Saccharomyces cerevisiae S288C: one gene and its partner. The protein of the gene in region 1 binds, or shares a complex with, the protein of each later gene. Each region holds a gene or a part of one and is shown in the gene's direction. Other genes may lie near its edges. The genes, in order: MMR1 and MYO2.

What was found.
Region 2: the proteins of MMR1 (region 1) and MYO2 are in contact, whole or in part, in a crystal structure (PDB 6IXP), measured with the Saccharomyces cerevisiae proteins. Residues at the interface, in NP_013291.1 of Saccharomyces cerevisiae: Thr408 (codon at 3,154), Arg409 (codon at 3,157), Leu410 (codon at 3,160), Ala411 (codon at 3,163), Arg412 (codon at 3,166), Val413 (codon at 3,169), Ser414 (codon at 3,172), Val415 (codon at 3,175), Leu418 (codon at 3,184), Ile421 (codon at 3,193), Glu422 (codon at 3,196), Gln424 (codon at 3,202), Pro425 (codon at 3,205); in NP_014971.1 of Saccharomyces cerevisiae: Glu1222 (codon at 5,654), Leu1225 (codon at 5,663), Ala1226 (codon at 5,666), Leu1229 (codon at 5,675), Gln1233 (codon at 5,687), Thr1237 (codon at 5,699), Gln1238 (codon at 5,702), Leu1239 (codon at 5,705), Lys1240 (codon at 5,708), Glu1293 (codon at 5,867), Asp1297 (codon at 5,879), Glu1299 (codon at 5,885), Ala1300 (codon at 5,888), Leu1301 (codon at 5,891), Tyr1303 (codon at 5,897), Asn1304 (codon at 5,900), Asn1307 (codon at 5,909), Ile1308 (codon at 5,912), Lys1311 (codon at 5,921), Lys1312 (codon at 5,924), Thr1527 (codon at 6,569), Gly1528 (codon at 6,572), Pro1529 (codon at 6,575).

The regions. Positions count from the first base shown.
Region 1 is NC_001144.5:533,282-537,379, forward strand, and holds MMR1 (Mmr1p), read left to right. Parts: upstream 1-1,932; coding exon 1,933-3,408; downstream 3,409-4,098. Other genes in the region: ATG26 (sterol 3-beta-glucosyltransferase), read right to left, coding at 1-1,112; peroxin PEX13, read left to right, coding at 3,991-4,098. UniProt on the Saccharomyces cerevisiae protein: Involved in the guiding of mitochondrial tubules to the bud tip during cell division.
Region 2 is NC_001147.6:923,731-930,945, forward strand, and holds MYO2 (myosin 2), read left to right. Parts: upstream 1-1,990; coding exon 1,991-6,715; downstream 6,716-7,215. Other genes in the region: FRT1 (Frt1p), read right to left, coding at 1-1,310; SNAP receptor SNC2, read right to left, coding at 7,004-7,215. UniProt on the Saccharomyces cerevisiae protein: Myosin heavy chain that is required for the cell cycle-regulated transport of various organelles and proteins for their segregation.

The DNA.
Region 1 (4,098 bases):
CTCAATGTTAAAGCTTTGTTGACTATAGGTTGATCATCTATCTCTATAATGTTGGGCAGCGGAATTTTTAAACTTATCGAATTGTTTTCAGAATTCTGAGCTGCGAACTGCTCCTTTTTCAAAGCGTTCACCCACGATTTAGCGGAGAACTCTGAATCTGCATTGAATTTGAATGTACTTTCATCTGTGTAAAGCTTAAATGTTTTCGTAGCACTCCCGTTTAAGGTATGTTTTTGTGTTTCAATTTTTTGGACCTCCCTCAAATCTATGGTTAAAACCGGAAAGTATAGCTCAGTTGATGAGGTATACATAGAAAATAAATGATTCTTTAGTACGCACCAATACCTGGTAGACCTAATTAGTTTTGTCCTGATATTAAGGTTTCCAGACATTTTAACCGACCGAGGATTCTTAGGTAAATATGCAAAGAATAGGAAATGTTTTGTTGTAATAAAAATATGGCCTTGAACCAACACATCTTTAAGTAGCCATGCAGGGAAATCATTCAAAAATGGTTCCTGTTCGTCTAAACAAAACCGCTGTCTCAACTTAGCCACATTGTCTTTTGACAGTTTTTCCCTAGTTATTGAGAAGTCGAATAAAGTTGGCTTTCTTTTGTCTAATCTTGGTACTTCCGGATGCGATTTAGTTTTGAGATTTTCCTTTTTGCTTTTTACCTCATTTCGACCAATGTTTTCCTGGAAACTATCACTGGAATCAGATTCTTCAGAATCAACTTGCGACAACACATTCATTTCTTGAGCATTATTCATCCCTGCATACACACTAGCAGTAGTTAATAAACCGGCAATACTTTTCATCATATACTTGGATTTCGCCAAGTCATCTGCATTATCGTTATTGTAACCGTTTTCGTCATCATCACTACGGGCTTCATTTGGACTGTCCTGCAGTTCTTGCTGCTCAGACGACCCCATCGATAAACTGCTATTTGATCTTCCTCTCCAGCGCTTGAACTTCGAAAGTGACCTTGAAAGGCGATGATGCCTAGGGGAAGTTTCTGGCTCAGATGGCTTATCAGGTACCAACGAAATGCTTGGTTTTGGCCCCGCCTCGCTATCAGACGCTGATATGATTTGAGTGATGGGCATTCTTTTAAGTTATACGGATTTTCACCAAAGCATAAAGTGCAACTGAACTTCTGATGTTTACTTTTTGACAGCCATGACTTTATCAGTGATAAATGCAATGACTTTCCGATCTACTCCTTCTGTTGACTTTTAGTCCCTTTTTTCTTAGATGTTATGTTACAGTCACATCAGGGTTAAGTTTTTCCAAGTCATCTCAAAACAATGACCTATTTTATTTCTAGATAAACCCTGGTGTAAGCAGGGTTAATTTTGTCCCAAACGGGCAAAATATAAATACCCCTTTCGGGAAATAAACTAAAAAGAGTTCTAATTAGCCAATTGGCAAGAAAGCTCGATGAAGAATCATTATGGGTTTAGAAATCAGATTTCCTTACTTTACAAGTTCTCTCACGCAAGCTTGATCGTTTTTAAATTTTCTACGTTCATTCAAGACAAAGTGGTTACAGATAGAAGTTTTTCTCACATTTAGATTATTTTTTCCTGATAGTATTAAATAACACGTACGATCAACAAATTGTTGCTCAGTTTAAGTGAGCCTAGAGAATTAAGCTTTATTACTGCTGTATTTTCTGTTATTTTGATTGCCTTGGGAATAAAGGAAAGGTTTGGAGGGGCACATCTTCCTAAATAGCAGTAAGGAAAAAGAATCGCGTGTGAAGTCTTTTAAATCAACATAGTTATCCTCGGTTCCAACTATTTTACTTTCGTTTCAATTCCGTTGTTCTTAACTAATCTTCTTTTCTTTTAACTTGTTACAAGCCAGTACTCATTGCAAAATCAAAAAAAAAAAACACAACTAATAAACTAAACAACTAAAAAAATGAATTCTCCAACAATGAAATCGGAACAACTTACTCCAAAACTCTCACCAATGTCCTTTTGTTTGGATGACCAAAGAAATGCAGGCTCTTTTCAAAATCTATTGAACTCACCTACGAAGCTAAAATTAGACACTGGCCCGATTGGTAATTCCTTGTTATATCCAACATCACTCTCTAAATTGAGCGAGTTATCAAGAGGTGGACGTTCTAAACAAAGAAGGGGCTCTGACACTATGAGGTCTGTATCGCCTATTAGGTTTCAGTTTTTGAACAACACTCCAAAGATGTTAAAACCCGAGTACCTATCTCAAACAACCAGTAATCTGCCATTGCTATCTGCCCTATTGAAGAATAGCAAGAAAACTACTAGTGAAGGCCAGAATTCAAACCCTGATCCATTGAACATAGAGAAAAACATCATTAAACAAAGCATCAAGGACAAACTAGAGCAGCTGCGCAGTTCAGAATCCGTTGCGCAAGTACAAAAGAAAGAACGCAATCCCCCTTCATTTGAGGCCAAAGTCTGTGCGGAAGAACCGATATTACGGAAAAACGCCGAAGGGTTGCTCCCCTCATACGTTCCTGTTCCTGCTACTCCTTTGGAAGATCCAGAAAATCATGGGGTGCGAAAGGTCGAGGACAAAGGACTTAGAGTCGTCTCCGGCGGCTCCACTCAGTGTCTAAGCACCGAAGTGAACGAATTGCCTAAGGATCTGAATCTAGACAATTTACCTACGGATAATAACGGGTTCGTTCAATATGGTCTCAAAGGCAATAACAACAACAACAGATATAGCTTTATCTCGTCTACGTCGACGGACTATGAGCCCGAATGGTGTGACGGACAACAACATATTTCAATGCAAATGGCCTCTATGGCCAATGCAGAGGAGGCAAATAGTCGTGAAAAATCGAATTTAGACATAAAGATCAAGCAGCTAGAACTTGAAATTACAGAATTAAAGTTGCAGAATGAAAAATTAGTGCATTCCATGACGACGAACAGATACATTGAAGAAAGATTTATGCTTGAGGTTATGAAGGATCCTAGTATACAGGCTCAAAGATCCCAAAGAGATATTGAGAGAAAAGTCAAGCAACTGGAGAAAAAATTCTTCAATTGTAAAAAAGTTCTTAAGAAATTGACTGAATCCTCCGCAGTAGTGGCCACCTCCACTTCAAAAACTGAAGGAAATTCAGCAAGAATCCCATGCCCTAAGACTAGACTGGCACGCGTTTCTGTTTTAGACCTAAAGAAAATTGAAGAACAGCCAGATTCTTCTTCGGGAACTTCGTCCGAGGAAGATCATCTAACAAACGATGATACGGATGCTAATACTAGCGAAGATTTAAATGTTGCTTTTGAAGAGGAGCCAACTTCTGCTATTTCCACAACAGCATCTGTGCAGAGTGGGGAAAGTAAAAGAGGTTTCCAACTTAACCTTCCTGTCCAAGTGGAGAAGAAGGAAAAATGAAGCGTCAACTTCAAATTAAATTAACTTATTTTACACAAACATTCACAATACATCAATGCTGATAGGCGCTTTGTATTGTAGGCTATCGAGTTACGCATCTGCAATGTGCGTGATTTCTCCGTTATCCATCCTTCTCATTGGACAATTTTTATTTGAATATTACTGAACTTCAAAGGGCTTGTCGTGTGATTTAATCTTTTTTCTTACAACGTCGAATGCTGCAGCTATTTATTCATAGTGTCGTCTAAGCAAATACCCCGCTTTTAAAAGCTGAATAGAAAATCCAATCACGGTGTGACTGGTATCACAAACACATAATTTATATATTGCATTCAAGTTTATTCAACCTATACTTAAATACATTAATTACCAAAAAAAATGATATAATAAAGTCTTCTTTTATCTGATTAATGACACCTTTTTCAGCGGGCCAAATTTTTTTTATTTCCGAAGCCCGCCGGACTAATATTAATTATATCAGATAGTTGGTGAGCAAACGCATGTGGAAATGAACAACAATTTCGAAAGTGCATATACTATCTATAAATATCAAGGGGATTCTATACTATAACAATACCTGCGATGTCATCCACAGCAGTACCACGACCTAAACCTTGGGAGACCAGTGCTTCGTTAGAGGAGCCACAGCGTAATGCTCAGTCTTTAAGTGCGATGATGACCTCGAATCAG
Region 2 (7,215 bases), on another chromosome or scaffold:
GAAATATGATTTTGATAATAATTCAATTCATCAATGTTATCATTCAAATTTGAGTTGCTCTTCGAAATAGAGTTTGAGCTAGAATCAGGAGTGGCTGCGGAGCCATTATTATTGTTCACCTTCAGTACACTCTTGAACCTAGTGGAAGAATCCGCTGACTTCTGCCTATTCAGTAAATACTTAAATCCCAAGGTATCGGTGCCAGGTGCAGTGGAAGAGCCTGATGAATTCCTTGGTTTCCTCTGGTTAGTCAAATATCCTAAAGAGGGATATACACCGTTTAAACTTCTTCTATCCACATCTTCTGAATCTGATGAGGTGGATGACGTGGACGAAAAGGCTGATGACGACAAAAATGCTGGTACATTAGAACGGGAATACAGAAATGACGAAGAATCGTTGACAGCAGAACCGTCCAAATCATGATAAAACAAAGATGTGCTGGGGGAGGAGTTTACGGAAATTTGTGATTGAGAATGCATATTCCCTAATTTAATGCCGCCAGCGGTGGATGAGGGCTCAAACACTACCGACTCCCTCAACGTATCAAATGGGTCTGAATTTCCCAAAGAAGGCTGTAAAAATTGGTTAACCAATCGTTTCCTCTCATAATCAAAAGAACCAGCGGATGATCTACGTTGCGAAGAGGAGGAACCCTGTATTTGATTGAAAGCTAGCCCAGTATGACAGCTTTGGAAAACGGACATCGAACCACGACGTCCTTTACTAAGGCAAGACAATCTGGCCCTATTAGAGTTGAAGTCGGTTTTCGGCGACACTCTGAATGGATCATCCAAACTGGATGCCCCACTATATGATCTACTGTGTCGACCTACTCTGTTATCGATGTCATCTTCAAACAAAAAATCGCTAAACTTCCCGGTTTTGGTCGATCCCAGGACAGGTAAGCTAGTCATTTCCAATGAACGTTGTCGTACCCCATGTGCCCTATTCTTTGTCACATATAAATGTCTCCTATCATGCAGCGCAGGCTGTTCCTCCTTTTCTTTCTCCCTTTCCTTTTGTAACAACGATCCCAAGTTTACTTCAGTGCTTGGTCTTGGGACCACCGGATTATCATTCACTGCTATGACAGGTAATCTAGAAGATGATTTCGAAAAGTGTGCAACATTTGTTTTAGCTTGTAGAGGTTCCGGCTGCGGCTGCGGCTGTAGACCGGATTCTTTTATCTTCACTGCGTCGCCACTGGAAGCCCTTCTTCCCTTACAAAAGCCTCTTGGGAATGAAGGAGGTAACAGGGTACAGTTCCTCGATCCGGGATTCTCCATCCGGTCAATTAGCAAGTTCATTTTCACTTAATGTATCAACTATAACTTAAACCAAAAAAAAAAAAAAATTTAGATATGGGAAGGTCTTTTCCTCCACAAATAGGGTGAACTATCCGACCCAGATCAATAAATAAATAGGCTCGAAGACGCCTCAGAACTCCGGTCACTGGTTTGTCTTGTTGATATACGATGTGCCAAGCGCCGTTTCTCGATGCTTATCTGGTTTAGTTTACGCTGTTAAAACCAAAACCCCAACAGATTTTCGACCCTAACGTATGTAGGGCTAAAATAGATATTGAGTAGGTTACAATTAATTATTGGCAATTGCACCTAGTGACACATTTACGAAAACGTAGGGCAAAAACTATTACCCGACCCAGGGCTATTTTGTGATTTTTTCCTTTTTTTTGTTTATGATCGCGCTTCTCGAAAAGCCAAATATCAGAAATCCCAAACACGCCTTCATTTGATACGATTCGTAGCCTGCGTTTCAGAGATCTATCAACTTTGCAAGGCCAATCAGAGAACAAAAAAGTCTCGCAAAGTCATTTCACTTTTCTCGCTTGAAATTATTCGTTCGATTTCTGGCTGCTTGCTTGTTTTTTGTTTTCTAAGGTACTATTCGACACCATTCCATTGGACAGCGATACTTATACCATTGTACATATAGGACATAAAAACAGCAGATATTACAGCGTATAATGTCTTTTGAAGTGGGTACACGATGCTGGTATCCCCATAAAGAATTGGGCTGGATTGGGGCGGAAGTAATCAAAAATGAGTTCAACGACGGCAAGTACCACCTGGAGTTACAATTGGAAGACGATGAAATCGTGTCCGTGGACACAAAAGACTTGAATAACGATAAGGACCAATCTCTACCGCTTCTTAGAAACCCTCCCATTTTGGAAGCAACGGAAGATTTGACCTCTTTATCTTACTTGAATGAGCCAGCTGTTTTACATGCCATCAAACAGCGCTATTCTCAATTGAATATCTACACATACTCGGGTATTGTTCTGATTGCTACAAACCCTTTTGATCGTGTCGACCAGCTTTATACACAAGACATGATCCAAGCATATGCGGGAAAGCGCAGAGGTGAACTGGAACCTCACTTGTTTGCCATTGCCGAAGAAGCGTATAGGTTGATGAAAAATGACAAACAAAATCAAACCATTGTGGTAAGTGGTGAATCTGGTGCTGGAAAAACGGTTTCTGCCAAGTATATTATGCGTTATTTTGCTTCTGTAGAAGAGGAAAATTCCGCTACTGTACAACATCAAGTGGAAATGTCGGAAACAGAACAAAAGATTCTAGCTACAAACCCTATCATGGAAGCATTTGGTAATGCTAAGACTACCAGAAATGACAATTCTTCCAGATTTGGTAAGTATCTAGAAATTTTATTCGATAAGGACACATCTATTATTGGAGCAAGGATCCGCACATACTTGTTGGAACGGTCCAGATTAGTTTACCAGCCGCCAATTGAGAGAAACTACCACATATTTTATCAATTAATGGCTGGATTACCAGCTCAAACCAAGGAGGAATTGCATCTTACCGATGCCTCAGATTACTTCTACATGAACCAAGGCGGTGACACCAAGATCAACGGTATTGATGATGCCAAAGAATACAAAATTACAGTAGATGCATTGACATTAGTCGGAATCACCAAGGAAACTCAACACCAAATATTTAAGATCTTGGCCGCACTTCTGCATATCGGTAACATAGAAATTAAAAAAACTAGAAATGATGCATCACTATCAGCTGATGAGCCAAACCTGAAACTGGCGTGCGAATTGCTGGGAATTGATGCCTACAACTTTGCCAAATGGGTCACCAAAAAGCAGATCATTACAAGGTCAGAGAAAATTGTTTCGAATCTAAATTATAGTCAAGCTCTGGTTGCCAAAGATTCCGTGGCTAAGTTTATTTATTCCGCCCTTTTCGATTGGCTTGTGGAAAATATCAACACCGTGTTATGCAACCCGGCTGTGAACGACCAAATTAGCTCATTTATTGGTGTTCTGGATATTTATGGGTTTGAACATTTTGAAAAAAATTCATTTGAACAATTTTGTATTAACTATGCCAACGAAAAACTACAACAAGAGTTCAACCAACATGTTTTCAAATTAGAGCAAGAAGAATACGTTAAAGAAGAAATTGAATGGTCTTTTATAGAGTTTAATGATAATCAACCTTGTATTGATCTGATTGAAAACAAGTTGGGTATTTTATCACTGCTTGACGAAGAAAGTAGGTTACCTGCTGGTTCCGACGAATCTTGGACCCAAAAACTTTATCAAACTTTGGATAAATCTCCTACGAACAAAGTATTTTCTAAACCAAGATTCGGGCAAACTAAATTTATCGTGAGCCATTATGCTCTAGATGTCGCTTATGATGTGGAAGGATTTATTGAAAAAAATAGAGACACCGTATCTGACGGACATTTGGAAGTGTTGAAGGCTTCTACCAACGAGACACTAATAAATATCTTAGAGGGATTAGAAAAAGCTGCCAAAAAACTGGAAGAAGCGAAAAAGCTTGAATTAGAGCAGGCTGGCAGTAAAAAGCCAGGTCCGATAAGAACGGTTAACAGGAAACCCACTTTAGGTTCCATGTTTAAGCAATCTTTGATTGAACTAATGAATACCATCAACTCAACTAATGTTCATTATATTCGTTGTATAAAGCCTAATGCAGATAAAGAAGCTTGGCAATTTGATAATTTGATGGTGTTGTCTCAACTCAGAGCCTGTGGTGTTTTGGAAACTATTAGAATATCTTGTGCTGGGTTTCCTTCTAGGTGGACTTTTGAAGAATTTGTATTAAGATATTACATCTTGATACCACATGAGCAGTGGGACCTAATCTTCAAAAAAAAGGAAACTACAGAAGAAGATATCATATCAGTGGTTAAAATGATCCTAGATGCTACTGTAAAGGACAAATCCAAGTACCAGATTGGTAATACAAAAATTTTCTTCAAAGCAGGTATGCTTGCATATCTGGAAAAACTTAGAAGCAATAAGATGCATAATTCAATTGTTATGATCCAGAAGAAAATTAGAGCTAAATATTACCGTAAGCAGTATTTGCAAATATCTCAGGCCATCAAGTATTTGCAGAACAACATCAAAGGTTTCATCATTCGTCAACGCGTTAATGATGAAATGAAAGTTAACTGTGCAACTTTATTACAGGCCGCTTACAGGGGTCATTCCATCCGTGCCAATGTGTTCAGCGTATTGAGAACAATTACAAATTTGCAAAAGAAAATTAGAAAGGAACTAAAACAAAGACAACTGAAACAAGAACATGAATATAATGCTGCGGTAACTATTCAAAGTAAAGTTAGGACCTTTGAGCCGAGATCGAGATTTTTACGCACTAAAAAAGACACTGTTGTTGTCCAATCTTTGATCAGAAGAAGAGCTGCTCAAAGGAAATTGAAACAATTGAAGGCAGACGCTAAATCAGTTAATCATCTGAAAGAAGTGAGCTATAAATTAGAGAATAAAGTGATTGAACTGACGCAGAATCTAGCATCCAAGGTCAAAGAAAATAAAGAAATGACAGAAAGAATTAAAGAACTACAGGTTCAAGTGGAAGAAAGTGCCAAGTTACAAGAGACATTAGAAAATATGAAAAAAGAGCACTTAATAGATATTGATAATCAGAAATCTAAGGATATGGAATTACAAAAAACTATTGAGAACAATTTGCAATCCACTGAACAAACTCTAAAGGACGCTCAATTAGAGTTGGAGGACATGGTTAAACAACATGATGAATTGAAAGAAGAATCTAAAAAGCAACTTGAAGAATTAGAGCAAACAAAGAAAACATTGGTTGAATACCAGACATTAAACGGAGACTTGCAAAACGAAGTTAAATCTTTAAAGGAAGAAATTGCTAGGTTACAAACTGCCATGTCGCTGGGCACCGTTACTACTAGTGTACTACCTCAAACACCATTAAAGGATGTAATGGGAGGCGGTGCTTCAAATTTCAACAATATGATGCTTGAGAATTCCGACTTATCTCCTAATGATTTGAATCTAAAGTCTAGATCTACTCCATCGTCCGGAAACAACCACATTGATTCATTGAGTGTCGATCGCGAAAATGGTGTCAATGCTACACAAATCAATGAAGAGTTATACAGGTTATTGGAGGACACTGAAATTTTGAATCAAGAAATCACGGAAGGCCTGTTAAAGGGATTCGAAGTACCGGATGCTGGTGTAGCTATTCAACTAAGTAAAAGAGACGTTGTTTATCCGGCTAGAATACTGATTATAGTTTTAAGTGAAATGTGGAGATTTGGGCTGACCAAGCAAAGTGAAAGCTTTCTTGCCCAAGTATTGACTACAATTCAAAAAGTTGTCACTCAATTGAAGGGTAACGATTTAATTCCAAGCGGTGTATTCTGGTTAGCAAACGTTAGAGAGTTATACTCATTTGTGGTGTTTGCTCTAAACTCTATTTTAACCGAAGAAACGTTCAAAAACGGCATGACCGATGAGGAGTATAAGGAGTATGTTTCATTGGTCACAGAACTAAAGGATGATTTCGAAGCTCTAAGTTATAATATATATAACATTTGGCTGAAGAAATTGCAGAAGCAATTGCAAAAAAAGGCCATCAATGCTGTGGTCATCTCCGAATCATTACCAGGTTTCAGCGCGGGAGAAACCAGCGGGTTTTTGAACAAAATTTTTGCTAACACTGAAGAATATACAATGGACGACATTTTGACCTTTTTCAACAGCATATACTGGTGCATGAAATCTTTTCATATTGAGAATGAAGTGTTCCATGCTGTAGTCACAACCTTATTGAATTATGTGGATGCAATTTGTTTTAACGAATTAATCATGAAACGTAATTTCTTGTCGTGGAAAAGGGGTCTTCAATTGAACTACAACGTTACTAGATTAGAGGAATGGTGCAAGACGCATGGCTTGACAGATGGTACTGAGTGCTTACAACATTTGATTCAGACCGCTAAGCTACTGCAAGTCCGTAAGTATACTATCGAAGACATTGATATCTTAAGAGGAATTTGTTATTCGCTAACACCTGCACAATTGCAAAAATTGATTTCACAATACCAGGTGGCAGACTATGAGTCTCCAATTCCACAGGAAATCTTAAGATACGTTGCTGATATAGTTAAGAAAGAAGCTGCGTTATCTTCATCAGGTAATGATTCTAAGGGTCACGAGCATAGCAGCAGTATATTTATCACTCCAGAAACAGGTCCATTTACTGACCCATTCAGTTTGATAAAGACAAGAAAATTTGACCAAGTAGAAGCCTATATACCAGCGTGGTTATCCTTGCCCTCAACTAAGAGAATAGTTGACCTTGTTGCCCAACAAGTCGTTCAAGACGGCCACTAAAACTGATGGCGCGAGAAACAAAATTGTACATGAATGCTAAAAAAAGAAATGACAAAAAAAGAGAAAAAAAAAAATGAAACTACATAGTTAATTAATAATAGAAGTATTTGTCAATAGTATGATAATGAAATCGATATTATGGAAGATATTAACCGCGCGCCGTATTAGTGTACACTATATTAAACTACATTTTGCTTCTTACTGAATTTATAAATTATGATTATATTATTATTACTATTATGACTACTGTATATATTTTTTAGAATTAGCATCGGGAACCGATGAGCGTTAGCTGAAATGGACGACGATAGGAACGATAATTACCACTAGTAAAATAATAACAACTAAGAATAAACACATTCTCATTTTTAGATCTTTCCACCACATTTGCTTTCTGACCCTGTTGGCGCCTCTCTTGAATCCTTGTGCGGAGATAGCCAAGTTATCAGCTTTGTCCTCAATGGATGTTAGCCTTTCACCACGTTCAGCAACCTTGTTGA